Mytilus edulis: one gene and its partners. The protein of the gene in region 2 interacts with the protein of the main gene of each other region in a pairwise test. Links are inferred from orthologs where the notes say so. Each region holds a gene or a part of one and is shown on either strand. Other genes may lie near its edges.

Region 1 (7,172 bases), on a different chromosome or scaffold from region 2:
CGTCATAATCAGATTTTAACCAATGAAGAACTGAGATCAAACGAACCACATGTTGATTTTTTTTTTATACAATGGGTGCAGATAGGGATAAATTGAAGAAGAATTAGAGAAATGAGTATAAATAGTTTAGGGGTGGGAATCTCCACCATTTCCAGGTTCTCAAACAGGAGGATGTGTAGTGAACTCCCCCTATATATACTTTTCCCAACGGTCACATTGTATTGACTTTTGACATTAAAATTGGTCAAAAAGTAATTTTGAGTTTCTGTACAAAATATTTTCTGCTTTTTCTTTCTTTTACATATATCTTTTGCTTTTCAATTCTAGTGTTTATATTTATTTACCATGCATAGATGTATTTTTTTCACCTTTCTGGTTTTCTTTAGTTGATCGGCAAAACCCGGAATTACCCTTTTCCGCTTCCGGAATCGGATCCGATATTGTAATTGTCTGGCATCCATTTTGTTTTCAATGTTGTTTTTGTCAGATACGATTTTTCTCGAATTTACACATTATTTGTCGGCGGTTTTCTGTATAAAGCTAGCGGTTGAACAAAATGAACATCGCTGTCATGTATAATAATGAAGAAAATAAGTTTTAGATCGTTTATTAGGAGACTTTGGTAAAATAGTTTGCAAAATTTTTTTTTTATTTTCTTTCAAGTGGAATGTCGGTCGGGCATAGCTAGTACCAAGTCGAAAGTCCGACTGCAAAAGAGGAAGGCCGCAGACCTCGGACCACCGCTAATTTGAACCCCTATCTCCAAATTGAAAAGATACGAAAATTTCGTCTTCTGATTTGAAATTGCCGCCAACAGCATGAACAGTTGAACTTATATAATAGACTACTGATGTAGTTGACTACTGACGTAGTTGACTACGTATTGACGACACACAATATTCCTACGACTTTTGTCATTTGGGAAATCTAAACTACTTGTCTTTAGAGATTTTCAGCAATTAAATATTTCATACATTTGTTCTTTGACATCTTTGCCAAAAGCTCAGGGGATAATAAACTGCACAAGGATTCCTAATGTGCTCTAATTCATATGTGCAACTTTAAAACTTTGGGGTGATTCGAAGATCATTTAAGGTTTTTCTGATCATATTTTTTGTAATCCAGAATTAAATGTATGAAAAAACTGTCCAATTAGTTATAAATAACAAAATATCCAGGAAGATAATAAAAAAGGCATGCCTTTCAGCATTTATTGGGTAGAACACAAATCTAGGGTGCTCGCATAAGGCAGCTTAACTGCCTAAAAATGTAGAATGTTATAATTATGTTTGTGCACATTTTTATTTTATCTATTGTTAAATATCAAGATCAATTTATTGAAGTAGTACAAAATGTATGTTGTCATATTGTTGAGACAGCTACTTTGCATTAACACCATTTTCCAAGGATTAGAAGAACTATTTAATATCCAAAGGACATATTGATTTGTCTCGAACACATGATGTTATACTACTTAAAATAATATTAAAGTAAATAATTCTAAGATATAAGTTGTGTTTATTCAATAAAAGTGCAATTTAACTTCAGGCATTGTCAGGAAATCAATTAACATGTCTTGTATTAAGTTTATTTATGCAAATTACTTGTTGAAAATAATATGGAGGACGTAATTATTCAAGAGGTAGACAACTTTAAAAATTTCATACAAATTGATTTCTTGAAGATAACTTGTATTTATATTTCAAGAGTATTAACGATTAAAACGTCTCAGACCATATAATTTTACAATCTTAGCAGTATTACACCATATAAAATCATGTTTTGGGGATAAATTAATTATTCCTTGGGACAATAATCTTGTTCTTGTAATCCTTCGGAAATCGTTGTAAATGTACCTGCTACTTTCAATGAAGGACTCAATAGAGTGACTGTCACTCATCACAATACTCAGAGGAAAGCTTTTCCAGCTTTTAATTGTTTTTTAGTTCTACAGGATGGAATTGGGTATGAAAGTGTGTTCATGTTATGAGACTGTCTGATTAATTCCATAGTTTGTCTGTTTTTGTGATTGCAATGAGATGATGTACGGTGCAGTCCGGTGTATCCGCACACCTAAGACTTATGACTTCACTTCATTCAAGTGATAAAACCAAAAATTGGATAATTTTGTGTGAACACATTCATAACATACTTTTATTTCATAAAATCTTCTGTTTGTATGGTTACATCCTTTAGATTTTGTGTAATGTGTGTCCAAAATTAGGAAAACCCCTGTTCTGAGAGTTCCTCCAATGTCCGGTGATTTCGCGCATGCCTTCCAAAAATAGCTTATTTGAAATAAAGGAAAGATGTATACTACGAAATATAGCTGAGTTTGTACCAAACACACTTCCATGGATGCAGAGCAAAAAATATTTCAATCTGATATTAATTTGACTGAAATAAAACAAAAATAATCTGATGATGTAATTTTTTTAATGGAAATTGGCCAAATATGGTAAATCACGGGATTGCAGTTATTAATTAATTCTTGAACTTATCAATTTTATTCTTTTTTATCCCTTCGGAAGGCTAAAACAATAACAAGAACGATTTTGTATGTGTTACTGTGTTGACATGACGAAATCAGCTAATGCGCGATGTCACGGGCCGCGCCGACACCGGGGACTCCACTGTATGTGATTTGTAAACAGGCATAGTGATTGCTTTATTGTCTTTCTAAGTGGAACCTTAGCTCCAAAGTACTGGTATCACTTTTGTCAGGAGGTTGGCCTAGATTATTTTGCTGATTACTATCTAAAGTTCAATGAAACAGACATGGACAAATGTGTACACATAGGCATGACAGGCAAATTGTATGTTGTGTGTATACAAATGCCTCTTCACACTATATACACCATATTTCATGAGAACACAACTACCTCAATGACAATATAAAGCAGAACTTAAATGTGAATTGTATCACTTGTAAATGAACTAACATTTATCATTTCTATTTACAGGATATCTTCAAAGTTTTGTTGATGCTGACGTTTTTCGCCTAAGTAGACTAAATTCAGAACTTTTCCGGAACTTCCGGTTTTTTAATCCGGATGTACAGGGATGTCTAAAATATTTTGAAATATCAGACCTGATATCGATTTACTGGTTCAAGTATCAGGGAACAACCATTTCACTTCTAGGAGGGGAATATAGTTTTTTGTCTGACACAGAATTTTTGTTCTCTTGCAAATCAAACAATCTTTTAATTTAACACTATATTAGGTATAAAAAAAATCTGGATTATGATTTCAGAATATTTTTTGTCATCTGCTATTTTTTCTTCATCAAATTTGGGATCAAAATTTTTTTTTAGGAAAAAAACATACCTCTTTTTTAAGTTAAATAATCGTTCCCTTGTATGTCTCTGGAATATTGTAGCCTGGAGATCAGTTTTTGTCATGATTTTAAAGGGGAAATTACTCCCTTACGAAGTCTTGCTAGGTTAGGTGTACGTACATCAACATTGTAACTAATGTTGCCCGTGCAAGATTCTACCTTTCTATGTTTCTGTGTTTAACATTGAAAATACATTCAGTCAGAGATATTTAATACAATGTATTTAAATAAGTTATAGACCTGTATATGTTTCATTTTTATCCACATTGGTTGGAAATCGGGATCTCGGACACATCTTTTTAACTAGATACCCCATCGTGTTGCCCAGTATTTAGTTAGATGTATATGTTGTGTTTTTGCGTACTGTTGTTTGTCTTTTGAAATGTTGTCAAGTTTTTTTCTTTGACCGAGACTAAGATTTATCTGATCCACGTAATTGATTAAATCTTTAGGCTCATTCACATCTAAATCAGGGCATTTCTTAACACTGAATGAGTTCACACAATCCGATCGATCCATGTGTACCATCTATTTAAAAGAAGCTAGCATCCCCATCAAATGTTACGGACTGCTGAATTCCAAAATAGTAAAACGTTGTATTCTCCTGACTTCAGTTCAAAAAGGTGGTTTGTATTTGGAGCCATGCTCAACTTGAGGTGGCGTGAATCATATGTGGATCCTTAAAAATTCCAAAGATCTTTTAGAGTACATACAATCTAACTCTCTTTCATCTTGCAATAGTATTAAAACGGCTTTTGACTTTTCTACATTTTACACAAGTATTCCACATTCTAAACTAAATTGAAGGAGTTGCATGGTATTGCATTGTTTCATAAAAAAAAATGGCCAGCGTAGATACAAGTATCTTGTCTTAGGGAGGGATAAATCCAACTGTGTAGAGTATCACTCTGATTCAAACAAAAAAATATTCTGAAACTGACATTATCAAGATGCTTGATTTATTTATTGACAACATATGTGTTACGTTCGGAGGACGTATTTTTCAACAGACTGTCGGCATTCAAATGGGAACCAATTGTGCACCTTTCTTGCCGACTTGTTTCTTTATTATTATGAGACTGAATTCATACAGGAACTTCTTAGGAAGAAAGATAAGAAGTTAGCAATATCCTTTGACTCTACTTTCCGCTATATAAATGACGTTCTTTCGCTAAATAATTCAAAGCTTGGTGACTTACACTATGTTGAACGCATCTATTCAATCGAACTATAGATAAAGCATACACCAGATACAGTTAAGTCGGCCTCATATCTTTACTTTCATCTACAAATTGACAATGAGGGTCGGTTGAAAACAAAACTTTACGACAAAAGAGATGATTTCAGCTTTCCAATTGTGAATTTTCCATTTCTAAGTAGCAACATTCCAGCAGCACCTGTATACGGGGTATATATCTCCCAATTGATACGATATTCCCTTGCTTGCATTTCCTATCATGATTTTCTTGATAGAGGGTTGCTGCTCACAAGGAAGCTATTAAACCAAGAGTTCCAAATGGCGAAGTTGAAATCATCCCTTTGTAAATTTTACGGACGCCATCACGAGTTGGTTGACCGTTATGGAATAACCGTTTCACAAATGATATCGGATATGTTCCTTACGTCGTAACTACAATCCCCTTCCCTTTCATGAATGTGACCTACCGAATTAGACTTTTTACCGGATTTGTTATAACATAAGCAACACGACGGGTGCCACATGTGTAGCATGGATCTGCATACCCTTCCGGAGGACCTTAGATCACCCCTAGTTTTTGGTGGAGTTCGTGTTGCTTATTTTTTAGTTTTCTTTGTTGTGTCATGTGTTCTATTGTTTATCTGTTTGTCTTCTTTCATTTTTAGCCCGGCGTTGTCAGTTTATTTTCGATTTAAGAGTTTGACTGTCCCTCTGGTATCTTTCGTCCCTCTTTTTTGAGATACTAATTCGATCGATGTACAATGTAAATGCTTGCAATTCTTCAATGGATATATAGAGGATCGGCGAGTTCTGGAGTGGTGATACAGCTGACAGCGTTATTGGAATATCGTTCATGTTCTGGTGATTTAAGAAGCAGCTTCCATTTGCGTTTCAAGGATAGGTTTAAAACAAATTGGTAAGGTCTCGAGTTTATCAAATTAGATCTGTACGGTTTGATAGTTGCTTGCTCACTTGAATGTTTTGTTTGACTTTAAACTATTTTTGAAATAATTGAGAACAAATACTCTAGTTATCTTATACTTTGTAGAGGTAAACTTTTTGCCTCTTTACTTTACATTTGATTTTGGGCCAGTAAAATCAATGGTGGCAAACCCATTTTGTTCGAACATCAATCGCACAGTTGACCAAACTTTTCCAGGAGATATTGCTACAGGATCTCGATAAGTATCATCTATATTCTTGATAACTTGTTAGAAGAGTAAAATAAAATTGCTGTTTTCCCGAATGGTCTGTCAGGGATGTTTGAATTTGTCTTGTGAGCGATATAGCGGATCGACATTGTTTTAATTTGTGTGTCGTCGAGTCGACGAACATAGTTATCATCACCCGTGTTTTGTTTTCATGAAACAAAATAATATTTTCCCAACACATATCTAGTTCGCGTGGATCAAATATATCTTTGTCTTTATCTTAGTTCTAAGTGGGATTATATGCCATTGGGCTGCATTGGTAGTGGTATACTGTTCACTAAATCCAGTAAGATATTTGTCCTGGATGGAGATGAGACCAACGCTGTCTTTCGAGAACGTTTTGTCAAAATCTTTCTTCAGGAGTTGGTATATATAGAATGATGCAATGCGTTTTCAAACACATACAAAAAGTCTCAGCCCATCAAACTAAATCAAAAGAGATACTGTTCAGCATAGTGGTCTTATCGCATCCTGATTACCAGTAATCAATCAGTGAACTCATTTTAACAATCCTACATATCTACTCCAAATATGGTTGGCTAATACTGCCCAAATTTGATAAATGTGTAACAGTCAATGGTGTCTTTCCATTGTTTTTCCAATCACGAATTCCTTCAAAACTATGGACAGTCGACGGAAATGAATTTTACAAGATGGATGTCAAATGTGTGCTCCGAAAGCACAACATTAACATTTTATTCTATCAAAAAAGAGACGCGAAAGATACAACAGTGATAAAGCTCTTCATTAGTCGAAAAAAAACTCGATAATGCCATGACAAAAACCCAAAAAGATAGGGCTCTGCTACAAGTCAACAAAAAAAAAAGTCATCCTTATAATATATATATATGTTATGTATCTTGTAGTTGTTTGTACATGTGGTTGCGTAAATCTACGTCGATAAAATATTAATCAATTCATTACCTTTTTACGGGATTGTATAGAATGAAGATATATGTGATCAAAGTTTGGATCACCAACTTCATCATGTCTAATGTGCATGCGCGGTTGATGTCTACCCAAAAATGCTTCTCTTCATACGAGTCATCAATGTTGTTTTTAAAGGAAACCTCGAAGATCATATAAATAAAAAAACTCATGGTTAGAATATCCATGGAAGTATGATATAATATATATATCTGATCGTCTAAATTTCCCCTCACAAGAAAAGTGTAATTTTCAGAAGACACGTCTAGAAGGTACAGGTACCTTTGGTCGCATAAATCTATTCAATAGCATCGTTTAATCTCATTCTAGAGCACATTTTGTTTTGCACCTTTTCACGCTTTTGATTTCAGACCTACGGTGTTAATGGCATATAGTTTTGGGCTAAGTCCTTAAGGAAAAGTACTAAAACACTTTTTTTTAGCTTCGGTTCAGAATACAGGTATTGTATTCTTGTCAATTTGACGTTTCAACCTCAA
Region 2 (7,006 bases):
AATAAATAGCCAAATTCATCTAAAGCCAACTTTGCCTGAGGGAGTTGAAGCCTAAGTTTCATAATAATTTCAAAATTTATAAACAGACAATTTTAGTCAAGTTTGTTAAATCATGTCAGTACCGAAGCACTGACTACTGAGCTGATGATACCCTCGGGGACTGATAGTCCACCAGCAGAGGTATCGACCCAGTGATGTAAAAAAAAATGGAAAACAACACGTTTTGTAATTTATTGCGTCCGAAGCGCTTTTCTGGAAAACAACTATCATATGCCAGACTTGACACATTCATTTATTTATGTAAAAAAGTGGTGGGTCAAGCCATATTTCATAGCTAGCGACATTTCTTACTTGTATGACAGTCGCATAAAATTGCATTATATTGACAACAACGTGTGAGAAAAATACAAAAGACATAAATGGTAAAAATGTCAAAAATTGGGGTACAACATAGTACAATGCTATATAATCTTAACCACTATATGAATTTTGTCAAAATAGAAAATAAAATGACATTTATACACTCTATAAACAAAGCACATATGCAAAAATGAAAGACAAGAATACAAAAGAAATACCATAACACAATAACACAACGCATGGATGTATAAATACCGAGTCACACTAAAGGGACGTTCCCAAAAATGGACAAGACAGCAAAGATTGAAAATAAACAAAGACAAATAAAAAGAACACTATAACACGTAAAATTTTATGATTATAAACAACGTCAGAAACTATAATCTCTTCTTCAAGACCATCGTGTGTTATGTGTGAAGATGATATGGAATATTTATGAACAAGGGTTTGGTATCTTCTGGGTTTTTTTAAAGGACGAGACGTTCTATGACATAACCCTAGTTCGTCAACCTTCTGCTCAGACAATATTACCGTTTTACTAAGTCTGAGTAGAGCTGCAAGCTCTTGAATATCGAATGAGTTAAAAAAATGTATATCCCATATACAGGTGAAGTTCGTAAATTGCTGCTTTGGTGGAGGAAATTAATTTTATAATTTTTAAATTATGTCATAGTTTCTGGTACTGAGATGTCCAATGTGATCCGGAGGAAGTTGTGTAGGCTGTTTCTTTAATTTCTGGTTCTGGTGGATATATCAAAGAAACCGTATCAAAAAAGTTTGGATTTTTATCAGAAAGAACATCATCAATAATTCTTAGTATGGAATTAAATGATCTGGCTTTTTGGTCTTCTATGTTTTGACAAGTGTCTGGAGAAACTCCGACTCGTATGAAAATAAGGAGAGATACACAGCCTGTTTCCATAGGAATGCCGACAATTTGTTGAAAAAGTCTACCTCCGAATTCAACAAATATGTTGTCAACTAGAAAATCAAGCATTCTGATCATTTGTTCCTCGGTGTAGTATGTTTCAGTTTTTGTTAATTATTAACCAAACATGTCGGATGGTATCCCAAAGCAATTAATGCTATAGTGTTTGCTATAATTTCATACTGAACGTTTTGTGGATTATTTCTTTTAAATTATTTTTCTGTTCAAAATAAGGGTTTAAAGAGTTGAAAATCTAAGGTTTTGATAGAACTAAATAAGGATAAGAAGACGTGCTGACGGAGCGAAACAACCAGCGAACTTTGTAAAATGTATTTATGACACCTTAGAAAGTTTTCGGACGCCATTAAGACACGGTTGAGCTTTTTGGAACTTCGATTCCATTCCCTTATCCTAAATTGTGACATTACCGAAAACGACATGTCACTGGATTTGAAATTGCTTGACCCACACGACGCGTATGACATGTGGAGCAGGAACTGTTTACCTTTCCGTAGCTTTTAATGAGAAATAAATGCTTGCTACAAGTGTTAAAGTTGTAAGAAGTTTTCAATTACGCTTGTGAAAAAAAGTATAAATTTCTGAAACGTCGTAGAACAGTACAAATTGCCAGGTACACAAATGGGCAATTTCATGAATTCTTATGTAGTTTTTCACAGGTTGTGTAGGTTGCCGGAATATAGCGTTCAATTACAAACAATCACATGTTTAAAACAGAAGGATAAACCTATGGAAAACACTTCCGCTTTACAACATAAGAACAAACTATGATAATCAGTTGAAAAAAAGGTTAACTCATCATACATCTAACAAAAATACGGAGTGGACGTGGACGGGTATTTGTAATCCCAACAACAAAAAGACACTAAGTACAGATCTGAGAGTACATGCAGTTACAGACAGCTAGTTCAAAGCCAATAACAACTAACTAAAAAAATCATGCATCTTTAGAAGACTCGTTTATCATCCAGTGCACATCCAACATTCGATGGATTTAGTGTAAAGACGTCATAAACACTGAGTCAGAGAAAAAAATGACCTCGTGCAATGTCTAGAAACAGGTATCGAAACTGATAGTAGAACCATAAACGTGCATATATGTATATACCAATAGTGTTCAGTGGCGGATCCAGTCATTTTAAAAAGGGGGGATTCCTAACCCAGGATAAAGGGGGGGGGGTGTTCCAGCTATATGTCCCCATACACTCAGTGTTGAAATGGTAACCTTTTAGAATGAGTTATTGTTAAGGACCGATAAGAGTATATATACTGCATATAAAATATAAGTGATGTTTTAGTCTTATTTGACGAAGATGTAACCAAACAGACTGTTATAGAGAAATGTCATTTCTGACTTAACATTCAGCGTAAATCGATATTTTAAACCAATAGTTCTAATTTTGAATTGATATGAATGTATACCTCTGTATGTATACAATGCCAATACATGACCTTCTGCTGTTGTCTGTTCCATGCATGGTCGGGTTGTTGTCTCTTTGACACATTCCCCATTTCCATTCTCAATTTTATTGTTAATGACAAATTGGCTTTTTCATGAATTCATCATGCTTACCTTTATCAGTAACACTCTCAAAAAGAAAGAAGGCGAACGAGTTTCTTATGAGTTTCTTTGTGTCTCATATGTTCCGCTTGAATTTTATAAATTAAGACTGAGAACAAACCAAATAGTTTCTTACGAAATAATGACGTAAACACAACATATGTACATGTATGTCCATTATGTTTTTTTAAGTGCACCCAGTTGAACAAATAATTCAAATAAATAGATAGAACTGTTTGCTCAAATTAGTAAACTAGTTGATGTACCTCAGACTGGTGCCGCCGGCTTATGTCGGAACTTTTCGATATATTGATTTCAAAAAATTATTTTTGAAACTAGACCAAAAAATTACTTTCATGTTGAAACTTACGCATCCAGACTATTTTTCGTTATTTTACATTGATGAACTAACAGAAAAAATAATCAACAAAGGGAATGTTGAAGAAGACCGAATATGTTGTCGTTTAAAAATAAAAGCAACACTTTCCTTCAGAACGAAATATTTGACATTTCCGGTGTGAACACGCATGTCTGTAATTTATGAAGACTCGGAACGTGGCGAGTTGAAAGAAGACAGCTAAATAATAACGTACAGTCTCGACTCACACCTACAAATTAACTTTTATATTTCTACATAGGAATCAGATATCACAATGAGTTCCTCTGGGGAATTCGGGAACCCGCTGAGGAAGTTTAAATTAGTTTTTCTAGGTGAACAAAGTGGTAAGTTCCGATGACGAGGTAACGGAAGTGGTCGTGTTTACCTATTTGACTTCGTTGTGAACCAATCATGTCATGCACACATTGAGTCATCACTTGTAATAATAAATTATTTTTCATTTAATATTAATTTCCATACAATTGGCGACCTAACCGTTCACTGAAATTGTATTTGGAAAAGCAAATTGCATGCACTAGTTTTGTTTGGAATGTATTGACTAATGCAGACACACGACATAAATTCAAGATAATTAGATGAACAAATTGCAACTAATATTACTATAAGTGCTAGAAATAAAATTTCATCATAGGCAATCACCTGCCAGCATGGAGCTTATGATATAGCATATATTTTAGGACTATAGACCACATTTAATGACACATAAATTAACAATTACAAACAGGATATAACACAAGATAAAAGTTCTTAGACCTTTTAATCCATTTGAACATCCTTATTATTGTATTAAAATGAGTTTTGCTCAGAAAGCAATGGATATCTCTAACAATAATTATGTCAGGAGCTCGTTATTGAAGTTTAAGTTGGCTTTTCTTGGTGAAGCTGCAGGTAAGTTTAAATGAGCTATGGCCCAATACTCAATAGAAAATACTTTTCGCTATCTTGCCTTAAACTTATTTTTTGCAGCAAGACTTCTATTTTAAACACCCCCTTTTGTGTCCTTCTATGCTTATGTCAACAGAGGGGTTTGATAGATCTTTGCATTTTTGTGCATACCTTAAAGTTAAAGACTATTATTGTCATTCTAAAGCAGGTACAACATTGTTTAGATATAAGAAGATGTGGTATGAGTGCAAATGAGACAACTTGACTTCCAAGTCACATTTTATAAAAGTAAACCATTTAAGGGTAAAGTACAGCCTTCAACATGGAGCCTTGGCGCTCACCAAACAGCAAGCTACATGTACATGTACAATGAGCCCAAAAAATAACTAGTTTATAACCATTAAAATGGGAAAAACAATGGTCTAATCTATACAAAAAAACAAGAAAAACTTAAGAACCACATGAACAAACGACAACTACTGACAACTACTGAACATCAGATTCCTGACAACTTCAAAATGTAGGACAGGTGCAAACAAATGCAGCCAGTTTAAACAATTGTATTCTACATGTAGTCTGATTTCTCCCTCTGTTAAGACTTGCCATAAATTATTTCCTTACTTCATCAGTGGTCTCGTTAGCCCAAAATAGAAGGGCGCCGCGCCCTGTGTGCCCTCAGCCGCGCCCTTCTGCCCTGACGCCGTTTTCTGAAAAACCCTTGTGCCGTTTTGGTAAAATTGCCTTTTGTTTCATCGATTTCTTATCAGCAGTTAAATTACATATATGACACCTGGTGATTGCCCCCAGGTAACGAGGTTAATCATGTCATTACAATCAATTATTGTGGATAAGACTTCAAAGGTGTTAATTACTAGGTAATTTAATTAAGACAAATTAATGTACCTTTTTGTCATAAATATGATGAATGTGTCTGCATTTTCTTTTTGATCTCCAAGTCACAATCGAAGAGTGTATGAATGAAGACTTTCATGAATTTAGAATTGAATTGAAGTTATCAACTTTGCCTTCACAGAAACATCGTCCATCTCAACTTGTGAGCGACGAGCAGACGTAAACATGTTGGAAATTAATTTTGGAGTTACTTCCCCTGAAAAAGCTTATTACAAAATTGTGCTCCTAAAATATTATCTAGCACTAAAAATAGGAAAAAATAACCAATTGAATACAAAATTATATAAGAATGTTACCTTAAGGATACTAACTGTCTTTGAACATACAAAAAAAAATATATTGCAATTTATTTTTGATAATCATACATGTACTGTACTTTTGGCAATCCATGTTTTATACATTCTCAATTAAGAAATATGCATGAATTAATTGTTTGAATGGTGTCAAGCTATCAACTTACAAAAATGGAAGTGTGTAGTTAAACTCTCATCACAAATCAACATGATGAAGCTACACGAAATATTATATTCCTAAACACAAACAATAAAAAAAGTTTTGAGGGCCAAGCAATGAAAATTTTGAAATACAACTACTCTGTCATGTACATGTATGGTAAACTATGGTAAACTATGAGATGTTTAGTTTATGTTCTTTCTTTTTGGAAGGAGAGGGGGTGGGGAGAATAGTTAGTTTATTTTTCCTCTTTTGGTTAATAGTATGAATGTGTATTGCCATGTTACAAATGTATATGAACATGTAGTATGAATGACTTTTCTTATGCAAATTTTATAGAATAAATAATAACACCTACTTATGCATCTTTATTGACAATATATACAGTAAAAAAATATGTGAACTCGTGATACACGCAGGGACATAAACATTAGAAACAAGCAGTGCCTTCTATCATAAAAAAGTGCCCTGCCCTCCACTGGCACCCTGCACCTTTTGAATTCTAGCTGGAGCACTGTTCATGCTATTGCTTCCTACCCTAATTTGTCAGTATATTGTGGAAATGGAGGTATATTTTAGGCCTTAACTTTCTACATGTGTTTCCTGGGGAATACCAAAATATCTGATCTCTTAGTCTAAATGGTTTATGTCTCGTGTGTGATGCTTGATATGGGAGACTTACAAATGTAGAAATACTGGGTGTCTGTCCTGTTCTTGTTATTTGTGCTTATATATGTAATTCTTATTGGGTCAACCTTCACTTTAAACTTTTGAGTTCTCAAGCCCAAAGCTCAATTTTTTGAAAATTGTACATGTGTAGTTGGCTTGTAGAGAAGAATTTTACAAGCCTGAAAGCATTATTACAAGCCAATGCTGTAGAACTTGTGGTTAAGCTTAAGGTTCCACTAAAGTCAAAATATAGGACACTTAATAAACATCTAAACAATGCCTGTATTGTTCAACCTACATGTACATATATAATGAATAAAGTCCTAAACTAGGAAAACATATGTTCATTTAAACATACTTAACACATACTTAACACATACACACTGTGTAAATTGTAAATAAACTTGAAATTGTTATGTGGTGGCCAAACCCATTCTTGAGGTGAACACTAAATTTTCTAAAAAATCTGTGAGAAGACTTAATTTGTTTAAAATTGGTATGGATGACTTCTGTTATACATGTATCTAATGCATGGCAAGGTCATGTTGAATTTTCAGAAAATGTATTGATTTTCGAGTTTCAGTTAATTTTATGTATCTAGGTGAACAAATATCGAAGGAACAATACAGAATTGGACAAATATGCCATTAAAACATATATATGTGACAAATCAACATGAGCTTGCCCTGCATTACATGTAACAGTATTCGTCCACAAATTGAATCGTCTCGCAGGCCTAAAGATTTTTTTTTTGAAATTTTAGTGTTCACCCTAAGAACCAGTTTGGCCACTTCATAACAATTTCAAGTTTATTTACAGT
Region 3 (7,977 bases), on a different chromosome or scaffold from region 2:
CAGCTCTAACTCAAAATATTGAGAATTCTGTGTTAAGGGGGTCTAAAATTCAGTTTGACAGCTTCAGAAGTAATAAAATTTGACCTTTTTGAACTGGACCAAATCACTTCTTAACATTAAGATTCAGCACCCAAATTTTTTTAACATGTAATTTCATCCCCTTACTTAATATTTCATGCATTAAATATCAAGAAATATATTGGAAAGTGTATCAAATTAAAAATCAAAGTTATACACTGTTCACACTAGGGAGTCACAACGGAAACCAAAGGACGATAACTGTGTCCTGGGACCTACTGGCACAAATGAATGTAAAATCAGAAATATACCGACTAATTTCAAATTTGTGAATTTTTCCATATATTATTGAATGTCATAATGCCTTTGTTATTTCTTGACAATGATACTAAAGAGGGGATTGTTCAACATGCTCAATGACTTCATTTATGGCAATTGATCATGACTTCAGCTTATATCACTGCAAAGAGGTTCTATGTAAGCTTGCACCATCATCAACTTTTAAAGTGTTCGATAATATACCAAGAGTTTAATGAAATGTCCTTACAAAACATACTTACAGTCATGACAGTTTTATGTATTCTTTGAGATTAACATATTGAAATTAGCCTGAATTAATTATGTAATTGATGAACAGTGTAGCAGTGGGGCCTAAATTAAAATATTGTTTGTTTGCCCTTTTCCGACCCTATGTTTTGAAACAGGGTAGGTAGGTAGGTAAAATATTTTATTTTTTTCCCAAAAAAAATAACTAGGCTCGGTATATTTTTTTTCATGGGTAGGCAGGTAGGTATAATATTTTATTTTATAGATACAAAATGAGGGAGGGTAGGAGGGGGTCCTGATCCCGAAATCCCGGGCTTAAAAACACGACATCCCGAAATCCCGTGCTTAAAAACACCCGATCCCGGAGTCCCAATAAAGGTCCTATCCCCCCTCCAAAATCTGCATAATGTCATTTTTGCTTTTGCTAATAAGTTTCTGGGACTACGTTTTGAAAAAAAATATCATGTAGAATGTGAAGTTAATTCATATGCACTACTATTTTGTTTTCAAATATCAAAATATAGAGCTGTGCCGCATATTTTCAACATTTATATATGCCTGGAACTTTGAAGAGTTTTAACTTGCACTAATATTCTGTACTACGTACCTTGTACGCTTACCTCTATCTAAAGGTTTTCTGTAAGAGATAACTTTGTCCTGGTAAAATATGTCCGGGCAGACATACATTACTAGTAGAAAAGGTCCCTAGTGTTTAAATTTCCGAGTGTGCCTATGTTTCCAATAAAAATGCTACAAGACTTAAACTCAATTGTCACGTATTTTACATCGCATTTATAAATGATCTGTATGGAAAACTTGGGCGATTTTACTGCCAAATATTCTCCACTTTACAGGCTTTTGTCATGTCAGATATAAATAATATAGCAATGCTGGTCGAAGGCATTGTTAACATAATCATCCTTATCTACGGATCACAAAAGGCCATCCCTACATAGAATACAACGTCCGTTTACTCAAAATAGTTTGTACACACGTTGATAATTTTGTATTAAACAAACTTTTTTGTAAATGAACCCTGCTCTTCAAGTATAAAGATACAGAGTTAAAGTACGTCATATCATGATTTCAAACTCTAACTGCAAGTGTGCATGTAAAACGCTCACGTGATACCAAACGGACTAGACCTTATACGATAAAGATAAAACCCGAGGATTGCGGTAAAAAAGTTTTGAGCGGGAAATACAAATATAAGATTTTTTGTAGGAACGAAAAAATAAAATAAAATAAAATCTTGCTGGTAGATACAAATAAAAGATTTTCAGGCGGAACGAATTTATAGGGTCGGTCGGTAAAGGGCAAACAAACAATATTTTAATTTAAGCCTGGTACAAGTTTGCTTAAAGCTTTTAGTAGTACAAGACTACAAGCTGAAATTGGTAATCATGAATGGTACAGGATATGTATCTTACACCAAAAAATTATGACGTCTTGAAAGGCTGAATAATTTTTAGGCAGTGAAGTATTCTACTAAGCGTATACGTAACAGCAAAAAATTAAAACAGTCTTTAAAGATGTCATAAATTATAAGGGGATGAAGTCCCCTATTACAGTAGAAAAATAATAAATAAAAAATTTAATTTCCCGCAAAAAAAATCTTCTTCTAATGAACTCAAAATACAAAATGTAGTTCACATTTTTTTTTAGATTTTTAATTTTCCTGCATCTGCGGAGAAATCTACTTACATCTTCAAGTTCGTTTTTCATGAGACTATGAGATAGCGTTTTTTTCGTTTACATTGAATATAACGTCATACATTTGTAACTTAAATAACGTCACAACTATTAAAAATCCCTAACAACAGAACCAAAATAGGAAACGTTATGGTATTATCTGTGAAAGGTTATGGTATTTCCGTTTCTCTTTTAACAGATTTTGAAGTTAAATTATGTGTGAAATAAAAAAAATTAAAAAATCATTTAGACTTTGTCCCCTTTCACAGATAATGCCTGCCTCATAATCATATTATAATTATTAAGACTTAAGTTATCTGTACAGTCTCTCAGACTCAGAATTCAATACAAAAGTTATATCTTTAAAGTTCTAAGCATGGCTTAGTTTGTTTTCTTTTTATAGACCCTCGTCCCTCCTCTAATTGGAGGCTGTTCCTGAGTGCCATATGCAATTTTGATACACATGTATGCCAGTGCCAGTGTTGATCAAGTGTTTTTTTGGAGGAGGAACGCCCTACAGGCGACTTTTCGTATTTAACTGGCATAAAAAGTTCAAAATAAATATATGTCACAAAACATAAAATTCTTAAATAACAAATATTACCTACACCAGTAGTTTCCTTCAAAAGTGAATCAATTCATCAAAATGTGTCAAAATTCTTTCCTGGTGATTTGTTTTGCTTCGAGAATTTTTAGTCTCTTGAGGTTTCTCATTCTGAGGGATAAACCAAGAAAATATCGAAAATATTTTAAAATCATTCAAACGTTTGTAAATTATATCTAAATTTAGAACCAGCTTCGATCAACATAATTCCGAAAGTATATCCAATGTATAAAAAAATATACAAGAAACCTGGGGACGAATGCATTTATTTATCTTTTAGTTCAAGAAGATACATATAATACCTCATAATTGGAGATCCTTATTTTCTAATGTTATTTCTAAATTTCACTATTCTTTATTTTGTTTGTCCATTATTCTCTATTCTATATATTTTACTGCGGCACCCTCCGAGGGCACCCTACCAGTTATTCTCCATACATTATTTTTGGCCTATTTTTCACTATTCTGTATTTTTGCACACCCCACCAATCCTTCATAGTTTACAATACATATCCATATGATATTACAATAACAGCAGTTAACTGTTAAAAAGTATATAGGATTTTTTTCTGAGACAAGTGCCTGTGGTTACAGTATAATACCTAAAAAAAATAAAATAAAAATGGGGGTTCATGCATTTCCAAAGCACCTATGTTATTCATATACTATTTTTTTTATGTCGCGTTGTTAATTATTCAATTAATTGTAAGCATCCACTATTTTCCGGTTTAATGTCTTAAGTTCATTCTTCATTGGATCTTCAACAACACTCAATCACTCTGATTCAAACACAAAATTCTCTAAAACTGACATAATCAAGATAGATGCTTGATTTCTTGATTGACAATATACTTGTTACGTTTGGAGGATGTGTGTTTTCAACAGACTGTCGGCAATCCAATGGGAACCAATTGCATGTGCCCCTCTTCTTGTCGATTTTTTTCTTTATTATTATGAGGCTGACTCCATACAGGAACTTCTTAGGAAGAAAGATGAGAAGTTAGCAATATTCTTTAACTTTACTTCCCGCTATATAGATGATGTTCTCTCACTAAATAATTCCAAATTTGGTAACTATGTTGAACGCATCTATACCATCAAAATAGAGATAAGAGATACAACAGATTCAGTTAAGCCTGCCTCATATCTTGACTTACATCTAGAAAATGACAATGAGGGTCGATTGAAAACAAAACTTTACGACAAAAGAAATGATTTCAGCTTCACAATTGTGAACTTTCCATTTCTATGTAGCAACATTCCAGCAGCACATGCATATTGAGTATATTATGTCCCAACTGATACGATATTACCGAGCTTGTATTTCCTATCATGATTTCCTTGATATAGGGTTGCTGCTCACAAAGGAGCTTTTTAAAAAGAGTTCCAAATAGTTAAATCATCCCTTCGTAAATTTTACGGACGCCATCACGAGTTGGTTAACCGTTATGGAATAACTGTTTCACAGATGATATCGGATACAGAGGCGGATTTAAGGGGGGCAGGGCCCCCATTTTTTGAGAAAAAAATTGGTTGATTATATAGGGAATCACTGAAGCGTGACGGGAGCAGGCCCCCTCTTAGGCAGGCAGTGCCCCCCCCCCCCCCCCCCCTTATGAAAATTTCTAGATCCGCCACTGGGATATGTTCCTTATGTCGTAACTACAACCCACTTTTCATCACGGAATGTGACCTACCGAATTAGACTATTTACTGGGTTTTGTAATAATGAACCTGAGCAACACGATGGGTGCCACATGTGGGAGCAGGGTGTGTTTACCCACTTGATATCACCCCTAGTTTATCATGGTGGGGTTCGTGTTGCTTAAGTCTTTAGTTTTCCGTGTATTGTGTCTTGTGTACTATTATTTGTCTGCTTGTCTTTTTTATTTATTTTATAGCTCCATGGCGTTGTCAGTTTATTTTCTATATATGAGTTTGACTGCCTCTAGCTCTTTTTACGTGAATTCTATACGAGGCGCTCAATTAAAAATGATTATTGATTGATAACATAAAAGCAAGAAATACAAAAAAACAGAGGCACTTGAGGTCTACACAATTTTGAATAACTTACAAATTTTGCTTCATATTAGATATTCATGGTATTCTTTTAGATACAGAAACATCCGTGAAATACAGTTACTAGAGATCGAAATACTTCTATTACTTTTCTAAATAATTAAATCTTTTCATTTCGCTGGCCTGCTGCTTTTTTACGGAATACTATACGCCGATATTTCCGCTTTGCTACTATGAACGGCGAGCTTTTTACATTTTAGAAATCTAGTCAGTCCATTCCTGGGGTAGTTATAACTGTTGCTTCTCTGTTTGCAGGATTTATTAAAATCTTTTCTCCGCTTGAATTGTATTTAGTTTTGTTTCTTTGTGCTAGCCAGCTGATCATCTTGTATAGTTAGGTGCGGTGTGCTTGCATCTTGCGAACCGACTCCAGTCCGGATGGTCCAACACAATACGTAAAGTGCAATAATTGATAATATGATAACCCTGTCTCTATTTGTATTCCCTTTCTTAAGTTGTCTAAAATTGTATGTGATGACCAGAGTAAAGACATCTTAGTGTACTAACTACAGTAACACAATTATAGAGCCATGGCAACAGTGTTCTTTTTACTTATGTGCAATTTGTGATGTTATCAGGTAGTTGGTTCAAGTGGCAGTTATAGTTCTTGGAAACAATATACTTGACAGTCTGTACTAAGGATACAACCCCGGGTGCATGATGGAATAAGAATGATCAAGAATGTCATGTTTTTCAAGTTTGTGTGGACTGATTGACTTTATCCTTATCTACATGTACCAAAGAAAATAAAGATAGTTACTAACTTATTTAAAAAAAATCTTAAACTGTCGTCGAGATTTATATGTGCATTTATTTTGTAATATTTTTTTTGTATGCTAGAGTTATGCTGCCAGTGTCAGTTTCAATCTAATTAAAAACCGATCTCTCATCGCTCCTGTTTCTGATATGTCGCGACATATCAGAAACAGGAGCGATGAGAGATCGGTTTTTAATTAGATTGTGTCAGTTTAAGATAAATATTTTTTTTCAAATTCAAGTATATTTTACGGGATAAAGCATATATGATAAACTTGTCATTGCATAATGCAAGTGTACAAAATACATTTCATTTACAACATGTTTTTATATCATGAAGGTTAAAGCTCATCAGAGCTTATGTATAAATGTTTGTCAATATGAAATAATCTTACTTTATCAATATACGGAATATACACATAGTTTTATCCGCTGTTGTTTTATATATTCGACTCTCCATTTTAAACACTTTTTAACCCTGATCAAGCCGCTATTTCCACATTTTTATTTTTCAATCGGCACGATGTCAGACGTACCAGAAGGATGGGAAAGGAAAATAAGTCGCTCAAATAGTAATTTATAACAGAATTTAACTAGCAAACTATCATTTAAAATTAAGATCGATCATCCCAATCACGTTGAGTCACGAAATTTGGGCTAACACTCACTCTCGGCCCTAGTCCAAATAATTATGACATCTTGAAAGCTAGTCCAAATAATTATGACGTCTTGAAAGGCTATTATAATTTTTTCTATGACGCCTTACTTCGACGTAAAAGAAAAAAATTAAAATAGCCTTTCAAGACGTCATAATTATTTGGACTACTTGAAAGCCTGTTATAATTTTTTTCTTTGACGCTAAAAAAATTATAATAGGCTTTCAAGACGTCATAATTATTTGTTCTATCTCCGCCACATACAGTGAAACACTGTCACTGACCAACAGAAACTGATTTGTATGTAATAAACGGGTGCAGGTCGTTTCGTAACCTGGTCGTTTCGTAACTAGTCTATTTGTAACTTACTAGGTTGTTTCGTATCTGAGACATTTTGTAACCAATATCAATATATAATAATAATATGAGTCGTAGGTTACTTAAAAAATAATAAAAAGACCTATTGGTGTACCATGTATATTTATTTATTAAATAATTGATTGCACCTAATTTTACACTTTACAAGTACAGTTTTGCACATATGCGAATAGAACAGAAGAATTTAAATTGTCCATCATCATTTAGATGTACCCCGTCTTTATCAAACTATTTAGTCGTCTGCCACGTGCTGTGATGTCTTCAATACTTGACACCACTCATCTTTATGTTGCTGAGTTCTTTATTAATCTTTTTTTTTCCATCATAAGGTTTCTTTCATGTTTCTTGTTTTTAGTCTGACGATATTGGAGCCTATAACTACAGAAAGAACACCAATTAGCCAATAATTAAAAAGATTTAAGAAAGTTTTAAATTAAAAACATTACAATATTGTTTTTATTAGATGAAAAATTTGATAATCTTTTTACAATCCCAATTTGTGACAAAACCTCAAATTTGCTACTCAAATAAGTGATTTAAAAATCACTTATTTCAGTAAGTCCCCTGATAGTCCAGTCGAATTGTGAAAAAATTGCTCAGAATGTGGTAAAAGCATCAAACTTTGCAGAGTGTTAGTTGAGGTCATAACTAACATTTTTAGCTATGGACCCAATTTAGAAAATCAAAATGGCGGCTCTGGGCGGCCATTTTGAAATCATGTCCAAAAAAATAATAAAAATAATTAGAAAAAATATGAAAAATATATTTCTTTACCAATTTTGATAAACTTTCGTATTTCTTATGACAGAGAATATCAACTGAGGACTATTGAAGCATTTAGTGGCCATCTTGAATGGTGGCCATCTTGGAAACGTAAATTTCCAATATATCATTATTCGCTATCCTAAAAAAAAATTTGTATTAATATTAAGTTTTATTTGCATTTACAACTAGTTTTGCTAATCATTTATTTATGACTGTTAATATAGGATATATTCACCAAGTGCTCAAATAAGCTATGCGTATGTAAACACGGTTAACAAATAAATGTATGTAAAGAAATACGTACATTCTTTTAATTGCAGTTAAGCATATAGGGCTCAGTTACATGTTTACCTTCAAAAAATGTGTATATACAATATGAGTTATGACCACTGTATGTTGAAAAGGAAAACTGCGTAGCTATTACAATCACTGGAGCTGAAAAAAATAATAAAAAAAAATAGACTGGAAAGAATTCCGTAACGC
Region 4 (7,534 bases), on a different chromosome or scaffold from region 2:
AGTATACATCAAATGAAATGGAAGTTTTTAACGACCTTGACTGGCTATACAGCCCTTACACGGTCAATAGAAGTATAAATGGATATACTACATATTTAATATAATATGTCTGTGCTTTAATAAAAGTATGATTGTCAAAAATAATTTGCAATATATTTTTGTTGGTATATTCAAAGAAAGTTTTTATCCTTGAGGTAACATCCTTACATAATTTTGCATTCAATTTGTACTTTATTTCTATTTTAAATGATGGATAATATTTTAGGAGCACATTTTTGTAATAAGCTAAATCAGGGGAAGTAACTCACGTTTTAAAAATACGCAAATCATTTATGACCAAAGTCTGGAGTAATAGAGTTTATTAACAAATGTCTGCTTGTCCCTCAAAAGTCTCATAAGTCTGTGATGATTAAGTTATGATCTCTTAATCAATTAAAACACAAGAATCATGTACATCGATTAAATCCAATCATCAAGGTTAACCTCAAAAGGTAAATCGATCACGTGGTGTAAGCAATCTTCGTTGTCAGAACTGGATTGAACTGGTTTGAACTGGTCAATTTTCATCTGAAATTTTATACCACACGGGAAGGTTTACCGTTATGATTTTTTTTACCGAAAATTTTAGCACCACGGTGAAAAATTATACATCGCGGCAAGAACGATACCACCACGGTAGAAAATTATACATCGCGGGCCCGTGGTCCTTTAAAGGCCTGGGGAGAACACTGAGATGGATTCATGACAAAATTGTGTTTTGGTGATGGTGATGTGTTTGTACATCTTACTTTACTGAACATTCTTGCTGCTTACAATTATTATAATGAACTTGGCCCAGTAGTTTCAGTGGAAAATGTTAGTAAAAATTAACAAATTTTATGAAAATCGTTAAAAATTGACTATAAAGGACAATAACTCCTTAGGTGGTCAATTGACCATTTTGGTCATGTTGACTTATTTTCAGGTCTTACTTTGCTGTACATTATTGCTGTTAACAGTTTATCTCTATCTATATAATAATATTCAAGATAATAACCAAAAACAGCAAAATTTCATTAAAATCACCTATTCAGGGACAGCAACTCAACAACGGGTTGTCCGATTCATCTGTAAATTCCAGAGCAGATAGATCTTGACCTGATGAACAATTTTTATAGCATGTCAGATTTGCTCTAAATGCTTTCGTTTTTGAGTTATAAGCCAAAAACTACATTTTACCCCTATGTTCTATTTTTAGCCATATCAGCCGTCTTGGTTGAATGGCCGGGTCATCAGACACATTTTTTAAACTAGATACCCCAAAGATGATTGTGGCCAAGTTTGGATTAATTTGGCCCAGTAGTTTCAGAGGAGAAGATTTTTGTAAAAGATAACTAAGATTTACGAAAAATGGTTAAAAATTGACTATAAAGAGCAATAACTCCTAAAGGGGTCAACTGACCATTTTGGTCATGCTAACTTATTTGTAAATCTTACTTTGCTGAACATTATTGCTGTTTACAGTTTATCTCTATCTATAATAATCTTCAAGATAATAACCAAAAACAGCAAAATTTCCATAAAATTACCAATTCAGGGGCAGCAACCAAACAACAAGTTGTCCAATTCATCTGAAAATTTCAGGGCAGATAGATCTTGACCTGATAAACAATTTAACTACAATTTAACTCATGTCAGATTTGCTCTAAATGATTTGGTTTTTGAGTAATAAGCAAAAAACTGCATTTTACTCCTATGTTCTATTTTTAGCCATGGCAGCCATCTTGGTTGGTAACCCGGGTCACCAGACACATTTTTTAAAACTAGATACCCCAATGATGATTGTGGCCAAGTTTGGTTAGATTTGGCCCAGTAGTTTCAGAGGAGAAGATTTTTGTAAAAGTTAACGACGGACGACGACAACGGACGCCAAGTGATGAGAAAAGCTCACTTGGCCCTTTGGGCCAGGTGAGCTAAAAAGGCTTTGGATTTTTTCAATCGAAATAATAGCAAGCTGAACTAACTTAAAAGATAATAATTATAGACAAATCTCGTCTGTACTAGCCAAATTTCACAAATTTAAAGTTGTAAAAAATCATATCATGAATGATGGTTAATTACATTTTTTGGGTAATCAGTTACACCCCATGGTTCTATTATTTCCATAGGAAAACACGTGAGACATTCCAAAAATATATAGGTGCTCTTATCATTGGAGGAACATTACACAATCTGTCTACACACACATGGCGGCACGAAACACAATCTGAAATCCATCTGATGATATCTAAACGTATCGAAACGAAGTGAAAAATATCATGCACCGCGAGGGCGCTTACATAAGTCACTCTATGCTTCATTTCTGGTCGATATTCGCTACAGGCGCATGGTGCACATCCTTCCTGATTACTGCATTGTGGATATGAAGAAATCAGATAATGCACAAAATCACCAGACACTTAGACACATGGCGGATCACTGTTGTATGTGCAAACAGTTTAATGTTTACATTTTTTGTATATGTACTTGTATTTATTTAAGAATTGAATGCTTCTTTTTATAACTTTATTGGGGTGTAAAAGCGTTGACCGAAGTACATTTTGTATGAAGCGTGGAAGCGCTTCATTCTAAAAATGTGGCGCACACGGTGATTGCTTTTACAACACTATGAAGTTACATGTTATATTTAAAGTTGCTTTAACGAGTTCGTTTAAGCTCATGACTTATGTTGATTGTACATAAGAGACGACTTTAAAATAAAATGTATACATACTACTTGCAGTTTTTGAGGAAATATGGAAAATTTAAATATTTATCAATATCAGTTCATTGAATCATGAAATTGACGATACAAAGTCTTTACATTAAATTACTTTTACAAAATAAATGTATATTTTTTTCTGCCTATTCATACCTAATAAATGTCATCGTAAGCATATAAGGAGGACATTTCTTATTTATCAACCCGGATCGCCAGCTTGGCAAATCTTTACATTTCAGTTATCTTCTCCTTTTCTACTTCCGGAATTTCAAAATGTGACCAGTTACCGATATTGACTTACATATATACACAACGGACTGAATTTTAGATATTTATTAAGGGTCTGAATGGGGTGTACAGAATATAGGATATATATATGGAGAGGAAAAATAAAGAACAGCGAAAAATGAGCAAAAAAATAAAAAAATAATAAATAAATAAATAAACAACACAAAGTAGAATAATGGGGTGCAACAAAAGTAAATGTGGCAAATAAAAAAAAGGCAGTGGCTATTTGACCGGCAACGGTAAAATAGCAAATAATTGCTATTTAGCCGGCGCCGGCAAAATAGAAAAAAGGCTATTTTGCCGGCACTGAATAAAACGGTTGATTGATCATAAAATGTGCTTAGTAGAGAATTAAAAAGCTAAGTAATAAATCAAAATCATAAAAAAAAACGTCTCACTGGAATCAAAATGTAAGAATAATAATTAAATATCTAAATTAATAATTCATTTAAAAAAAAAATATGAAAAAATCCATCATGTACCTGTATATGACTTAGTACAAACCTTAAGACAAGTGGTATATTTCAAAAGAAAACTGTTACAGCATTCTCAAATGATTCACCTGAATATAAATATCAGAGTTGGAATAAAACTTTAATATTTATAAAGTCTACATTAAAACAAAAGCAGAAATTAAGGCCCAAATGACATTGGACTTCCAAAAAAGCTGATAAAAAAAAGTAATAATTTGTCAAGTTTGCCATTTCATAAGAAAAGTTCCAAAGAAAATGGATTCCTTATATTAGAATTAGCAAAAAACTCTGTTAATAACATTTTAATAACCAAGGAACAAGTTGAAACAAGACCTGACTTTTTAAGTGCCTCTTGTTTGGACTCAATTATAAACATTGATCTGATGAACAAATTTTGTCAAAAAGATGCATGGGAAGTTATGCAGAGCGTATTTAAAGAGAAAAAAAAATCCTATATACATATGTACACATGCCGCTGATTCAAAGGAAGACAGTGTAATGTGTAGTTCCTGTCTGGAGTAACAACATTTATCATGTGCTAGAATGAAACAACTTTGAAAGGCAAAACAATGGTTTTATAATAACAATTGCAAATGTTAAATCATCCTTCTATTTAAAATTCATAGCAAACAAGTTTTGATATTGTCTTTTTTCCGACGTAGTCGGTATAGTTTCGGTTTGTGCCCTTTGAACTTAAGGACGCTTATAACTATGGCAACAGAATACGCATGCTCGAAAAATCCTTTCTGTGATTGGAGAAAATTCTGTCATGGTGGGTGATTTGGTTGTGTTTGAAAAAACGTCTCGTTAATTATATCGTGATGGAAAGCAAGTGAAAAACTATAAATATTTGAACTAGATCTTACAAAGATTTATATTTTTATTAAAATAATTGTTTCTCCAATAGCTCTTTGCATCCATGACAGCTGTTTATTCGGGACAATTAAATATAATTTTTAATGTTTACTTTGTTGTACGAACGTACATGACTTTTAGAACGCACCTACACATGTGAGATTTCCGCGGGGTTTTGGTGAATGTAAACAAAAAGATACGAGGACCGAGAATACTGAACAAAAACAGAGAACACGTTATTTAAATGGTAAATCGCTTATTTAAATATAATCGCATATTCACAAAACAATTTGTAACGTTCTTTTGTTGTTAATTCATTGATTTTTAAATAGTTAGAGCATTGTTGTTCACAAGATGAAGGTAGTCAACGGGCGTTGCCACCAAGGACAAATTGTGTCAAACTATGCAGGTTTTCGGTGCACTGCAATCGCCTTCTTGTAGTTACATTCAGATGGAGATTTAATTAAAGAGGTCCTGCATCATGAAGTCATTGTGCTTCTGAAGGTTATCGAAATGATAGTTTTAAACATATACTCAAATTTAAATACGTCGGATATCTTTTTTAAAGATAGTTCTTGTTATGATGCAGTTTTACATAGCACTATTTTTATCACATGGCAGGATATTCAAAGTTAAACTCAGTATAGATTTTACACTAACAGATATCAAAATCAACTTTTTTATATATATATTTTAGAAAAAATATATTTAATAATGATTGTATTAATATTATTAATGTTTCATTAATGTATTAAATTTACTATTTTGCCGGTGCCGGTCAAATAGCCACTGCCCCCCAAAAAGGCATAAATTCTACATGTAGACTACAGAAAAAAAGCATTTTCATTAGAATTTTAAAGAATGAAAGTAATTTTTTTAAGCTAAAAAATGACATAAAAATGCAAAGAATCCAGATACAAGACAGTGGTTATTTCATTTTTTTTTATAATTTGGTATTCATTTAGATACCATTTTTAAAACAAAAACCAAACTACCAAAAAGAGATTTTAAACGAAACACATGTACAAAATACATAACATTAGTAGGGCTGTTAACATGTTACGATTGCAGCTGATCGAAATTATGTTGTGAATCGTTGACTATTTAAAGGTACTTGATGATATGGATGGGTGGTGCTTAATTCATTCCTATATATTTTTTATATTTTTTTCGCTCATTATTTATGTAATCATTTATCTTAAAAAATAATGGTTAACTTTATTTCATATTATTACCCAGTTCTTAAGTTTTTGCAGTCATTCTTTATATTTTTGCACCCATTATTCTCGTTTTTTCTCTAAAAAAAAATTGCCCATTTTCTGTTCTTTATTTTTTGCCCAATATTCTCTATTTAGTTAACCTCGCACTTGTCGTTGATCCGTGTTATCAGTGAATGTATCTAGAATGAGTTAAATCGTGTGAATATATGCCTATCTTGCTATCTTAAACACATTTCGATGACTACTCTATTAATGTTTACAGTGATTATATGATAATTTCTAACCAAGTTGACAAAATCAAGCTAGCTTGTGTAAAATCTATCATATCGTTATGTTGTCCAACTAGATTTACACATCTATCATTTAAATTTAGCTTAACCTTTTTAAAGTTTTCCTTCGAAGGTCTGGAACATTCTCATGGTAAACTTCAAAGGTAGACGTATTTTAAATGGAATAAGTCAATGGAAAGTACTGACCGAGAAAACTGTTTCTTACATGTGATATGTTTTCCACATGTGGAGCAGGATCTGCCTACTCTTCCGGAGCACCTGAGCTAGTTTTTGGTGGGATTCGTGTTGTTTATTCTTTAGTTTTCTATATAAAAAAGAAGATGTGGTATTATTGTCAATGAGACAACTGTCCACAAGAGACCAAAATGACACAGACATTAACAACTATAGGTCACTGTACGGCCTTCAACAATGAGCAAAGCACATACCTCATAGTCAGCTATAAAAGGCCCCGATAAGACAATGTAAAACAATTCAAACGAGATAACTAACGGCCTTATTTATATAAAAAAAAAAATGAACGAAAAACAAACATGTAACACGTAAACAAACGACAACCACTGAATTACAGGCTCCTGACTTGGGACAGGCACATACATAAATAATGTGGCGGGGTTAAACATGTTAGCGGGATCCCAACCCTCCCCCTAACCTGGGACAATGGTATAACAGTACAACATAAGAACGAACTATAAAAATAAGTTTAAAAAGGCTTAACTCATCAGATGGACAAAAATACAAGTGGACGTGGACGGGTTCTTATACATTCCGACACAAAAAGACAGCAATGAACAGATCTGAGAGTATATATATGTTGTGTCATGTGTACTATTGTTTGTCTGTTTGTCCTTTTCATATTTAGCCATGGCGTTGTCAGTTTATTTTCGATTTATGAGTTTGACTGTCCCTCTGGTATCTTTTGTCCCTCTTCTACTGTGAAATTGTAAATATGCAGATACTTGATGACAAGGATGCTTTTGGCAATGAAATCTTTGTTTTATATGGAAAAAAGATACCAATCTATTATATAAAAGTGTAGTAATTTTTATAAATTTACTGTTTGCAAAAGTATGAATCATTCTAAATACTAAGGATTTTCTTATCCCAGGCAGTTAACATGAGCCGTATTTAGCATAACTTTTTTTGAACTTTTGGTCCTCAATGCTCTTCAACTTTGTTCTTGTTTCGGCTCTCGAACTTTTTTTTATCTGGGCGTTACTGATGGGTCTTCTGTGGGCTTGGCGCGCGTCTGTCGTATTCAAATATAGGCCTGTGACTTTTTAATAGCTTTTATGTGTGTGTTTCCATGTCCTGTATGTTCTCCCATTTATTTGTATTGTACAAAAATGTAGTCCTATCATGTAATGTTGTCATTTTAATGTTATATTAAACATTGCCATACAAGCGGGATGTTTGGCTAGCCACAAAACCATGTTCAACCCACATTTTTTTCTTAAATGTCCTGTACCAAGTCAGAAAAATAGGTATTGTTGAATTATAGTTAATTTCTGTGTGTGTTGCGTTTTATTGTCGTGGTTCTCCTCCTATATTATATATGAGTGCTGTTTCCTTGGCAAGGGTTACGACCCACTCCCGTACTCTCCTTGGGTAGCGAGGTTGGCAATTATATCACATCTTCTTTTTTATATTACATGTTTACGGGGAAAG

What was found.
Region 1: the proteins of ras-related protein Rab-6A (region 2) and TATA element modulatory factor-like interact in a two-hybrid assay, tested with the Drosophila melanogaster proteins (2 studies listed by BioGRID). The link is inferred for Mytilus edulis from reciprocal best matches to the Drosophila melanogaster genes Rab6 and Tmf.
Region 3: the proteins of ras-related protein Rab-6A (region 2) and ecotropic viral integration site 5 ortholog-like interact in a two-hybrid assay, tested with the Drosophila melanogaster proteins (2 studies listed by BioGRID). The link is inferred for Mytilus edulis from reciprocal best matches to the Drosophila melanogaster genes Rab6 and Evi5.
Region 4: the proteins of ras-related protein Rab-6A (region 2) and golgin subfamily A member 1-like interact in a two-hybrid assay, tested with the Drosophila melanogaster proteins (2 studies listed by BioGRID). The link is inferred for Mytilus edulis from reciprocal best matches to the Drosophila melanogaster genes Rab6 and Golgin97.

The regions. Positions count from the first base shown.
Region 1 is NC_092352.1:9,448,140-9,455,311, reverse strand, and holds the start of TATA element modulatory factor-like, read right to left. Parts: upstream 3,027-7,172; 5' UTR 2,943-3,026; intron 1-2,942.
Region 2 is NC_092346.1:48,057,575-48,064,580, reverse strand, and holds the start of ras-related protein Rab-6A, read left to right. Parts: upstream 1-3,988; 5' UTR 3,989-4,058; coding exon 4,059-4,155; intron 4,156-7,006. UniProt on the Drosophila melanogaster protein: Protein transport. Regulator of membrane traffic from the Golgi apparatus towards the endoplasmic reticulum (ER). Mediates membrane trafficking during egg chamber growth and organization, possibly upstream of exocyst component Sec5.
Region 3 is NC_092345.1:76,065,472-76,073,448, reverse strand, and holds the start of ecotropic viral integration site 5 ortholog-like, read right to left. Parts: upstream 3,001-7,977; 5' UTR 2,861-3,000; intron 1-2,860. Other genes in the region: putative peptidyl-prolyl cis-trans isomerase dodo, read left to right, coding at 6,219-6,267. UniProt on the Drosophila melanogaster protein: Functions as a GTPase-activating protein (GAP). During border cell migration in the ovary, acts as a GAP for Rab11 and is necessary for the maintenance of active receptor tyrosine kinases at the leading edge.
Region 4 is NC_092345.1:62,728,958-62,736,491, reverse strand, and holds the start of golgin subfamily A member 1-like, read right to left. Parts: upstream 3,018-7,534; 5' UTR 2,894-3,017; intron 1-2,893.